Caenorhabditis elegans: one gene and its partner. The protein of the gene in region 1 interacts with the protein of each later gene in a pairwise test. Each region holds a gene or a part of one and is shown on either strand. Other genes may lie near its edges. The genes, in order: sek-1 and zipt-7.2.

Region 1 (6,993 bases):
TTGTGGCTGCTCATACTCAACCACCGGGAATCTTGTGGCTCGACATCTGTGACCACACTCGTAATTTTATATTTGATAGCTCTGGCAAACCCGGCGTCAACAATCCAGAAAGTTAGTAGCATTTCACTTCTAATGAAAAAATTTTTCTAACAAAGTTTCACGAAAACACTCCAAGGTTTATGTTCAACAAAAATGTATGCTTGATGATTGGGAAAGCTTTGGCAACTTTGCTGTCGGTTGTGTCGGTTGCAATTCTGAAACAAGCATCAGTTGTTTTTAAGAATTTTGCAACTTTAGCAAACTCCGGTGAAAACGATAGAAATAATAGTAAAATAGAAGTCCGTACATGATGTGCCTTAATGAAACAAAACATTTATATTTCTTGGTCTTTTTTGTTTATATTATTTTCCAGATATTTTCAATTTATCAATTATGGCAATTCAAACAAGGAAAATGATATTCACTCGTTCTCTATTTATATATTGGAAAATTTAAAAAACGTTTTTATAAATATCTTGAAAAGCAACCAAAACCAACTATCCCAATCAAGTCGTAGTGTGATTTACTATTGAAAAATTTGAACTAAACTTGCTTTTTCACATTCTTATATTTTTCCTTCCTCTGGTTGCCACATTATTTTATCACTGGCGTCAGTTTTTACATAGCTCTGAAACAGGAAGACATTGCAACATCAATTCACGATATTTAACCGTTATCTGAATTAAAAAAAAATCTTTACTCGAGCAATATAAACCAAAAGAGACTCATATCCTTGATATGGGGTGAGGGAGAAAAGTGGGGGATGGTTGGTGTAATTGAAAACAAAACGTTTAGAAATTTGTAATGTCTGAGTTAGGGGAGAAAACGAACAGAAAAGAAAATGAAACGTGTACGCTGATTTTCTGGGCAAGAACTGTTATAAGGAGAATAAGCGCATAAGACCAGAGAAGAAGAAAAATAGAAAGAAGGATAAGTGATGTTGATTGTTTTCGTTTTTGTAACAGCACATCAATTTATAAATATCATTATTAACCCACAGATGAAACAAATGCGGGAGGAGGGGTGCAATAGAATACATTTTTGATTTCTAGAGTAGAATAATCCATGTTGAATACGAATTTGACATCGAAAATGGCACTGTATATGCAGAGGAAGAAGTTAAACAATTGAAATGAGAAGTCTGATGAGATGAGATAGGAATGACTACTAAAATCATTTAAGAAAACAACTAGGTCATTTCGAGTTTGATTGGAAAATTATGAGCTACCATTTGAAAATAAAAATCACAGATGCTAATAAACTACTTGAACATTTAAACGTAAAAAAAATGTAGAAAAACACCGATGATTGATTATAACTACGAGGAGAAGACACGAAAAAAGAAGCGATAGAGAAAGATTTCCTATAAAATTGAAAATGAAATAAGGATAAGCGGTTGACTCGGAAAGAAACGGTTACCAGAAGCAAAGAAATAATTGGAATCTGAGAGATATATGATATAAACAAAACATAAGAACATAAAATTCAATATTTGACAAAAAGGGAAAAGAAGTGATAATTTATTCCGTCCACGTTGCTGATTATTCAACAAATATCGATGTTCCATTGACGGCCAGCGAGGCGTACAAAAAAACGCTATTCTCAATTTGAGACGTGTCGTACTAGAAAAAGACTTGTTCGCCATTCGGCACACCCGATGCTCATCGTCGCCAAACAGTGTCGAGAATCTGCAATGAATGAATTCAGAAGTTTTTGCAATTTTTCGCAAATCTAGCATAGTTTTTACCTAACTAGGGAACCGTCAGAAGGTGCCCATCGGACCTTAGTAAGATTCAAGATTGTCAGATATAAAACGATTTTCAGATTAAAATACAAAAAATTATAAAAAATAACATTCAGTGGTGCTTTTACTGTAAGTTGGTCCTGCTGGAAACAAACTGTACATGCTAAGTTTTGGTGATGTTTTGAAGTTGATCTATACTTTTCTTTGCTGATGTACCGAACTGATTTTTTGACAACATTTTTTACTCTTCGAAATTTCTCAGAAATAACCTGACTTTTTGATTGTTTTTTTATTGCACTTATTTTGCATTTTTGTTATTTCTTAAAGCAATTTAAGCACACTTCACAAAATTGACATCATTCACCAATTTTCAATTTATTTTAAAGTGTTTAGTTTCTACAATAAAGTGTTTTGTAACAAAATACCGATTTTCACTAAAAGCTATCGTCCAAAAATTTTAACGCTAAACTTGAATTTTTAGACATAGAAAATAAAACTCTTTTGTATTTTAAGGCTTAGGAGGACAATTATACTTAGACAACAATTTTTAAGCCTAAAAATTAAAAATCAATTTCACGTTTCATTTAAATGGAGAAATTAATAAACATTTAATTTAATTTTACCCATTTATTTACAGATTGTTTTTCTCAATTTTTCAGCAAAAAAATTGTCTTTTTGATAGCAGCAAATCTTACCTCATTGATAAACCGAGCCATACTAAATTGCTTCTCATTTCTTGCCTGCTCCATAAACGGCATCGCCAATAATTCCGGATATTTGGGACGTTCATTGTAATCCTTTTCAAGACTGCAATTTGCAAATTTTCATACTCTTCCCAACTCCACACCCAGAAACTCCAAAAAACTCACCATCTCTTGACAAAGTACTGACAATCAACACTAAAACCACTTTCCATCGGCAATTTTGGTGGCGGCTCTTTCACAACCTGTTTCAATTGTTCAAATGGGGTTTTCCAATTTGCGTAGGGATGGGTGCCAACGGCGATTTCAATTATTGTTATACCCAAACTCCATACATCAGCTCTCACATCATAGGCTGACTTAGTCTCTCCATCAATTCTCTCTGGTGGCATGTAAGGTTTGCATCCGGCTTGTACAGTCTGTAAATCGAAACACTATATATATTTTGAAATTTTTCTTCCCGGTCATGATGAAATTGAAAGATAACTCTGATTGGCATGACATCATTCGGCAAATAAAATTGCATTTCATTTTTTTAATAGAGGTCTCATTTTTATCGATTTTCCGTACCTTGGCCATGCTGTTTGTCAAGTGACCTGAAATTCCAAAATCGCAAATCTTGACTTGTCCATGTCGATTTAACAGAATGTTCGACGGTTTCACGTCTCGATGAATCAAATTCAGTTGCTCTTTCATAAAGTTGAGTCCTTCAATGACCGACAGAGCCATTTTCCCAATAAACGGCTCTGGAATGTGTTTGCCAATTTTGTATGCGTGCCGGTAAAATTTGTCCAGCGACGTGTCCATCACTTCCATGCAAATCCAGACATCACCTTCGCGAAACATTGCTCCATAGAACCGTACCATTTGCGGACAGCAATCACTTCTCCTGCACGCGTCTAGCTCGTTGAGCATCTGCTTTTGAGATTGATCGTTGATTGATGATTTGATTCGCTGTAAGAAAATGAAATTTGCTTAGGATCAATTTAAAAGATAAATTCGATTTAGTTTGAAAATTCATTTTTTATTTTTTTCAATACGCGATTTGCTTAAGTCTCGGTTCAAACCAGTAATATTTAATTTATAATTTTTTTTTAGTATTTAAATCTGTAGTTTCGATTAATTTTTATATTGAGAATTTAAATATTCGTGATTTGAAAACATTTTTTGGTCAGATCAGTTTTCCATTTACATGTTGTATTTACTTTAATCTTGAACTTTGCCACAACTACATATGAAGTATTTGCAATATGTTCTAGTGAAAGTTCAACATATGAAATCTATGAAGTGACCTTTTTTATGGAAAATTTCCGCGTCACAGACTGTTCTTATTGTTGGTATGTCCTATTAACATACATATTGATGTACAATCACCTAGTCACTTATTCTAGTGTATGGATGAAAATGAATTTTTGAAATCAGTAAGTATTGATAAATCTCAATACATTCCATAAATGTTTGATATCAAGCTACTTTGAATCTATTTCTCATGTTCCTTTTCAAAAAAAAAAAGATTTTTTTCATCATATCAGAAACGAGTGACCTGCGTTTGAAATCCTATCCTCAAATTCTCATTTCTTCACTTCCATAATTTACCTTTGTTCACGAAAATTTTAATTTATACACCAACTTTTCAAAGGTGACGTGTGGGCGCGTGTGCCGACAGCCAAAAGGCAATCAGTGTGTCGTCTCACACGGCGCCCTTCAAAAAATGGAAATGCTTTCCGTTGGCAATGAAGACTAACTATTATTTTTGCAGTCACACCTAAATTCAATAATCTTCATCTTGCTAACTTGCATTTGCTTTTGAATAACTATTGTATGTGAAAAATGACACGTTGCATTCAAATTAGAATAGTTTTTCCCTAATTAAAGAAAAGTATTTTATGAATATCTTAAATTTATACAAATTGCCTATTTATTAGTGCACCAGCCAAATAGGAATTTGAATTTAGTTACTTTTTGAAAAGTTACGAAAAAATGAAACATTTTTTTGAAAAAACCGCTTTTGGTGAATTACCAAACATATGTACATAGTTAATTTTTTCAAACTGTTCTTGTTGTGATACTCACTTTTACCGCCATAATTATCCCGCTCTGCCTGTGCTGCATTTTCTCCACAATCCCATATCCACCTTTTCCAAGTTCTTCGAGTACGACGAGGTCGGTGGCGGCAATCTCAATCTCTTCGGACTCGTTTGTCAATCTGCATCAATCAAAAATTTCTCATACTTATATTATTATTACATAATTCGCCGCGCCGTCTTTACGTGTTCAATATCAAACCCGACACGGGTATCACCTAATACTTACTTGATAAGACATCTGTCTTCCAGATTCATTGTGGGCGTCTCGACCGGTGTTGGCATCACGATCTTCATGCCCGGCAGCTTGCGCTCACGTCCTACAACAAGTCGAAATTAGATGCTTTGGCAAATTTGAGGTAAATGAGATTTTTCTTACCTTTTCGCTCCATGATGTAAGACTCTAGAGAGACGTTCCGCACCGATCTACATAAATTGTAGAATTCGCCGACCAGCGATCGTCTGCAAAAATTAAATGAGGATAAGGAAAGAGCAAGAGACACGGATTTCAGCAAAAAATACGGTGGGTAAATTTTTCACAAAGCGAAAAATGAGGAAAAATGACAATAAAGAATACAAATGGTGGTTTCGCGGTTTTGTGAACAAAATTTAGAGGTGTCATTCAATCTTTTTTCGAATCTAAATGTAAAATAGATAGTGTTGGTCTTTCGTTACTTATCCATCAATCTGGTCCTTTAATTAAAGATTTGGGAATCACGTTTTTTCCTTCTTTTTTTCTCCTGGCGGAGGGTTCTCAGATTTGATGAATGAGAGTACGAAATTCTGTAGAAAAACGCGGAATAGATCGTTGAAAAATAGAAGAAATAAGAAAAATAGGAATAGGAAAAAAGTGAGGAAAAGATAGAAGAATGAGAAGAGAGCAGAAGCAATTTGGTGAGTAGGAAGCAGAAAAATAGAAAAAGGGAAAAAAGAGGGGCCCCCATTTTCATCCCAGTGAGAAAAAATTAATGTGAAAACAAAGCGAAAAACCGTTGCCCGGGATGTGTTGTCGTAAAAATTCAAATTGAAATCAAGGTGCCAGACCAAAACGAGAACCGAAATCCGTTTTTGTTGGTGTTGTCACTGGGAACCAATAGTAACCTTGGAGCGGGTGCATGAATTTTTATGGGATGTGATGTGAACAAGTGCAACATGGAAGCTGGGGAGGAGGAGCAAGATGGAGCTGCCATGAATAGCTGAGTCATTTATAAAGCAGGGAGAAAACGAAGTGTGAATCATTTAATTGGAGATACTGAATTTGGAAATATCACAAAGAAAAACTCATGGTTCCGCGGGATCTTCTTACTAGTTGCATGACTAACGCAGAAATAAATAATTTCCGTGGGTGGGCGGCAAGTAACTCATATAACATGGGGTTTTTTTTTTCAATTTTCGGAATATTAAATTTTTTAAACTTCAATTTACTATTTTTAGTATACTTTTGCAGTTTTTATCGTTTTATCCTTCATTTCCCCCAAAAAGGGCCCATAAAAACTCGAAAAAAACTGAGCGCTTGATTTATTGTTATTGAGAACTAGAGCAGTGAGTGAGTTAACGGAAGGGAAATACGACGAAAAAAGTATTGGGAGTCAGAACTTATAGTTTTTGTCAAATGTTTTAAGAGAAAAGTGGAAATGAAATTAAGCAGAACATAGATTTAAAAATAGTGAAAAAGTGCAAACGTTTTTTTCGGAAAAAGTGTCGAGAAACCGTTTTTGTGACCAAACACATTTTTGTCATGAAAAGTTGCGAAATTCGCAAGACCACACATTTCAGGAAATCCCGTATGTGTAATGGTCAGATTTTACAAAAATTGCCTGATAGTATAATATTGCGAAACTTTTTTTGTTGAATCATTTAGACGGTGTGGGTTCGCAAATATTTTTGTAAGTATTTCGGGACGCATGTACATTTTTAGTTATTCTTTTAAGTTATAGTGTTCAGTTACAAAAACCTTATAGAACTATACAATTTACTCAATTTTTTGGAAGAAAACCAATTAATTGATAAGATTGCTAAGCCACGAATATGCTTCAGACCCGTTTGCTCTCAACAAGATAATTCGTTGAAATCACCTTTCAAAATGTTGTTGTCTGTTCACAAAAAAATGTTGATCATCGGGGGGGGGGGGGGGGGGGGGGCACTGTGCACGTAAACAAGTGATAAGAAACGACGACAAAAGTTACGCAGGACACCACTATTCCTCCATCTCTCTATCACTTTGCCTCTCTGCATCTCTCTCTCTCTATCTTTCAATGCCGTTTTCTGTTAAATGTTACTTTCTACACTCGCCACTCTCTCTTTCTCTCTTTCTCTCTCTATCTATTTCATCTCATACACACAGACACAATCTTCCATTTGTGGAAAGGTATTGTATATTGTGTCTGCAGTACTTGTATTCTACTAACCTCACCCTAAAAATTGT
Region 2 (4,366 bases), 7.7 Mb from region 1:
TTTATTGATAATTTATGAAATTTAATTTGGAGCCGACAAAGCTAACGACAAAAAATGCACATAATAGAAACAAGATAAGTCACAGTCAGATAAAAATAAAATTTCAGAGGAATATCTTTGTGGCTTTAAGGAAATTCTAGAATTCTAGTTATAAAAAAGACATTTATGGGGTTATTTATGTTATTACGAAAATTGCAAAAATGTATTTTTACATTTTTTTTTCCCCTAGCCATGTGTGTAGTAAAATGTAAAAAAAACGCATGCAGTTTCTGCATTTTTCGGCATTTTTCGACATTGCGGGGGCACATCTCACTGCGTTTCTCGCCTTCAGCATGTGAAGTGGGCTGTCGGCTGATGTAGAAAAATGTACAAAAATGCCGAAAAATGTTGAAAAATGCAAAACATGCATGCGTATTTTTACATTCTTCTACACACATGAATAGGGGAAAAGTGAACAAAATATATTTATGCATTTTCCGTCATCACATGAGCAACCCCATTACCAATTATCTTGCATAATTTCATGTGGGCACAATTTATGTAACATCATTGCAACCATACTTTTTGTAACCTCTATAGCCAGATTTTATTTTGAGCATGACACTACACACATTTCTGTGCATCCAACACCTTTATTGAAACAACCAGCCAAAAAAATCGAGAGAACATCAAGAAGGAGAGGGTGATTTAATAAATACTTAAATATATAAAATACATTTTACAAAAGGTAACATTTAACAAGTATCGCGTTTGTGATGATGAGACTAGCTTCGACAAAAATTTACTCATAAATAGCAATGAGATACATAAGGAAGATTCCGGTAAGAATAGCGAAGATTTCCTTAACTGTCTGGAAGAATGAGCTGTTCTCGAGAAGCTCAGGAATCACGGAAACCGTAGCAATGTAGATGAATCCTCCGGCTGTGAATGGAAGAACCCAGGAGCTAGCCGCAGCGTCGGCGAGAGCATCGGCGTCAGCAGAGAACAAGGAGATGACACATCCGGAAAGTGCTCCGAGAGCAGTTACAAGTTGGATGAGCATGGCCTTCTTCTTAGAGTATCCAGATTGAATCAGAATGGCGAAATCTCCAATCTCGTGAGGAACCTCATGGACAAGAACTGTGATCATAGTAACGATTCCGACGGTGGTTCCCGCAATGAAGGACGCTCCGATGGCAAGTCCGTCAGTGAAGTTGTGGGTGAAATCAGCAGCGAGGTTGAGGTAGGCGGTAACCTTGATTGATTGCTCGTCTTTTTCTGGTTTCTCCTCCTTCTTGGCAACTTTGTCCTTCGAATCCTTTTCCTTGGTTTCCTTCTTCTCCCCTCCATGGGAATGTCCATGTGAGTGACCATGGCCGTCTTCTCCTCTCAAAATGCGCACGAGTTTCTCAACGGTCAAGAAGGCGATGATTCCTGAAATTAATTACTTAAACCATTTTTTAATGTGTATATATATATATATATTTTTTTTTTGTCAAAACAAACCTCCAAGAACCCATCCCCCGACGCTCATGTCATGAGCTCCATGAGAATGCCCACCACCACCATGAGAATGTCCATGAGAATGCGAGTGCCCGTGACCGTCTCCAGCCGGAGTGGCGTGTGGAATCAAATGAAGGAACGCATCTCCGAGAAGACCTCCGGAACCAAAAGCGAGGAGAACCTTCAGAAGTGGTCCCGACTCCGAGGTGTTAGCCTGGATTGGGATGAACATAAGGATGAAGCATGGAGCAGCAGAGATGAGAAGTGTAGCCGAGATGGCATAAACCCAAAGCCTTGTCTTGGCATCATTAAGGAAAGAAAGGAATCCAGTGTACTGGTACTCATCGCCAACTTGCTTAGCACTTTCAGCTCCACTGAAAATGACAGATTAATCTCGGAAGTAGAAGTGAGAGTGCTTACTGGCTGTGTCCGTGATCCTCATGGGAGTGTCCGTGATGATCGTGAGCATGTCCGTGATGATGATCTTCCTCCTCGTCACTAAAAATTGATAAGTTGCAGTAATTAACTTTTTATTGAGAAATTCTTACTGGGAGTGTCCATGATGATCATGTGCATGTCCGTGATCATGAGCGTGTCCATGGTCATGATCGTGAGCATGTCCGTGGTCGTGAGCAGCAGCGGTAGCAGCTTCAGCGGCGGCGGCTGAAAAATGAGACTTATGGCTCCGAAGTAACAATCTGTTAACCGTTCAGAACGTTTATCATCCTCAACATTTTCGAAGTGTTTTCAAAATCCAAAATCACAAACCTTTAGCATACGGGCACCCTCCGTCGGCATCATGAGCATGTCCATGTCCTCCGTGAGCGTGTCCGTGCCCCTGATGATGCACATTCTGTTGAACATACTCCGGATCGTTCATCTCCTTGGTGTATTTCAAATGTGCCTGGCCATAAGCGGCAATAGCCAGGAATGACAGGAAAATGCACGATTTCACCAACATTTTCGCCGAAATTACCCTGAAAATTTCAAAAATAAGATGGAGAAAATTAATCGATAAATAGACAGGTAGACAGGAGAGGAGAGGTAGGCAATAAAGTGACGTGGGGTATAATGAATATTTATTCTGTTTTATGGTTATATTTTCAAGTAATAAAGACATTTTTTGCAAAGATGGCTGAAAAATCGAAGAAATCTGTCCGAGTACATGGATCAATCGGATAAAAATGACAAAAATGGCATATCCCACAAAATTGCGGCCAACGCGGCACAGGAGAGAGGGAGGTTTGTCTTTGTGCAATAGAGCGCGCTTGCTACCGTCCCCTCCACTGACAGAGCAAATTCAAATAGCGATACACAGTGAGATAGGAAAATGGGGTGCGGTGTTCTCGCATTGACAGATGGTCCCGGTGTATTTGCCGATAGGTTTATTATGAGCATGATGGTGCTCTTCAAACATTCACGCACGCAAGGCTCGTAAAAAACTTTCTCCAGGAGAATGTTGTTTCTTTATAAGATGTTTTTCTATCTGTAAAAGGAGTACTGTAGTTTAGTTTTTTTTCAAGTTTCAACCTTTAAGCCAAACTTTCAGGTAAACAGTCCATGAAAAAAAAACTAGAAAAAAAGGTGAAAGGGATGAGAAAAACACAAAATTGCCCTTGCCTACCCATCCATTCCGCTCACGTTTTTTTTTCAACGGAATCGAGGCTATCCACACATAGGAACTAGTTTCTTTCACTTCATCCGCTTGTTACATCTTGAATACCGCGACTGACTGTCCACCCTACTTCAACATTTTACTGAACTTTTTTTTTTGTTAGTTGTCTGCTGCTCATTTAGCAGTCACTACTGTGATTCATTCAGAATTGAAAGTCACTGCTTAGTCATCGTTTGTGCGGGAATTAGAGGAAAATGTAGTTTTTTTGGCTCTCTAAACAAATTTTGTTTGATAATTTTGTACATTTTATTCAAACCAAAAATAAAACTTCAACTTCTACATAGTTGTTTCTTTTGTGGTAATGTTTTGAAATACAATAAATGGTTCAATTTTTGCTTATCCCTAAAAATCAAAAAATGGTATCGTTAATTGGCTCTCAAAAACCTGAAAGACTCATTAACATGCTTTTCAATGAAAAATTTGATATAGATTCCTCATGGTGGCGCCTTGGATTTTCATAAAATAGTTTTTATATCAAAGAAATCGTAGGGTCAAAGTTTGATAAGTTCTAAATTCTGATTATGTTTTAGAAGTTTATAGGGTAATTTAAGTAATGTTGCAAAATGTATTTAAATACATTTATGACGTCACAACTGTATTAAAACACATATTTTTTCAAATTTATTTTAATACAGTTGTAACGGAATTTTTTCACACTTTTCAATTTTCCGTCAAGAAGAAAGTTCAACAAAATTATAATAAAAAAGGTTTTTTTTTGGCAGGAAAATAATTTAAGGAATGCATGTATTATATTTTTATTATTGTATTTTTTCAAGAAATAAAAACTTGTATAAAGGTTTACATGTTCCAAATTACGTAGTTATTCTTTATAGTTAGCTACATATATTTGTTGCCGTTAATTTTTAACTGCATAGTTTCACACCAAACTATAGTAACTTTCTCTTTTTTTTTAAATTCTTTTCCAGGCCCTCTGTCAGACAGGGATTAGTAGCAAAACAGTTCAACTCAAGCTAGCCTCAAATCCCCCGGTGTCTAATTGCCACTTGTGTCCGGGATTGAGAACACTGTCCCAAATCCCACATAATCTTTCTCCGGACTTCTGCCGGAAACCGTTGAGACTTTTGAAAAAAAAACTGATGCGTTTGAAGGTTTTGAAATTCAAATCGTGATACTACCCGTTTCGGAAACCCCACCATATACCTATATTTGAACACATGTCAAAAGTGAAAGATATTGCGTGAGGTGAGA

What was found.
Region 2: the proteins of sek-1 (region 1) and zipt-7.2 interact in a two-hybrid assay, tested with the Caenorhabditis elegans proteins (one large-scale study listed by BioGRID).

The regions. Positions count from the first base shown.
Region 1 is NC_003284.9:7,814,771-7,821,763, reverse strand, and holds sek-1 (Dual specificity mitogen-activated protein kinase kinase sek-1), read right to left. Parts: upstream 5,031-6,993; 5' UTR 4,961-5,030; coding exon 4,948-4,960; intron 4,889-4,947; coding exon 4,798-4,888; intron 4,691-4,797; coding exon 4,558-4,690; intron 3,439-4,557; coding exon 3,055-3,438; intron 2,904-3,054; coding exon 2,653-2,903; intron 2,591-2,652; coding exon 2,479-2,590; intron 1,728-2,478; coding exon 1,701-1,727; 3' UTR 728-1,700; downstream 1-727. UniProt on the Caenorhabditis elegans protein: Dual specificity protein kinase which acts as an essential component of the p38 signal transduction pathway which is also composed of upstream effector nsy-1 and downstream effector pmk-1. May phosphorylate pmk-1.
Region 2 is NC_003284.9:15,505,422-15,509,787, forward strand, and holds zipt-7.2 (Zinc transporter zipt-7.2), read right to left. Parts: upstream 2,460-4,366; 5' UTR 2,444-2,459; coding exon 2,251-2,443; intron 2,146-2,250; coding exon 2,031-2,145; intron 1,981-2,030; coding exon 1,903-1,980; intron 1,857-1,902; coding exon 1,486-1,856; intron 1,414-1,485; coding exon 782-1,413; 3' UTR 616-781; downstream 1-615. UniProt on the Caenorhabditis elegans protein: Zinc transporter.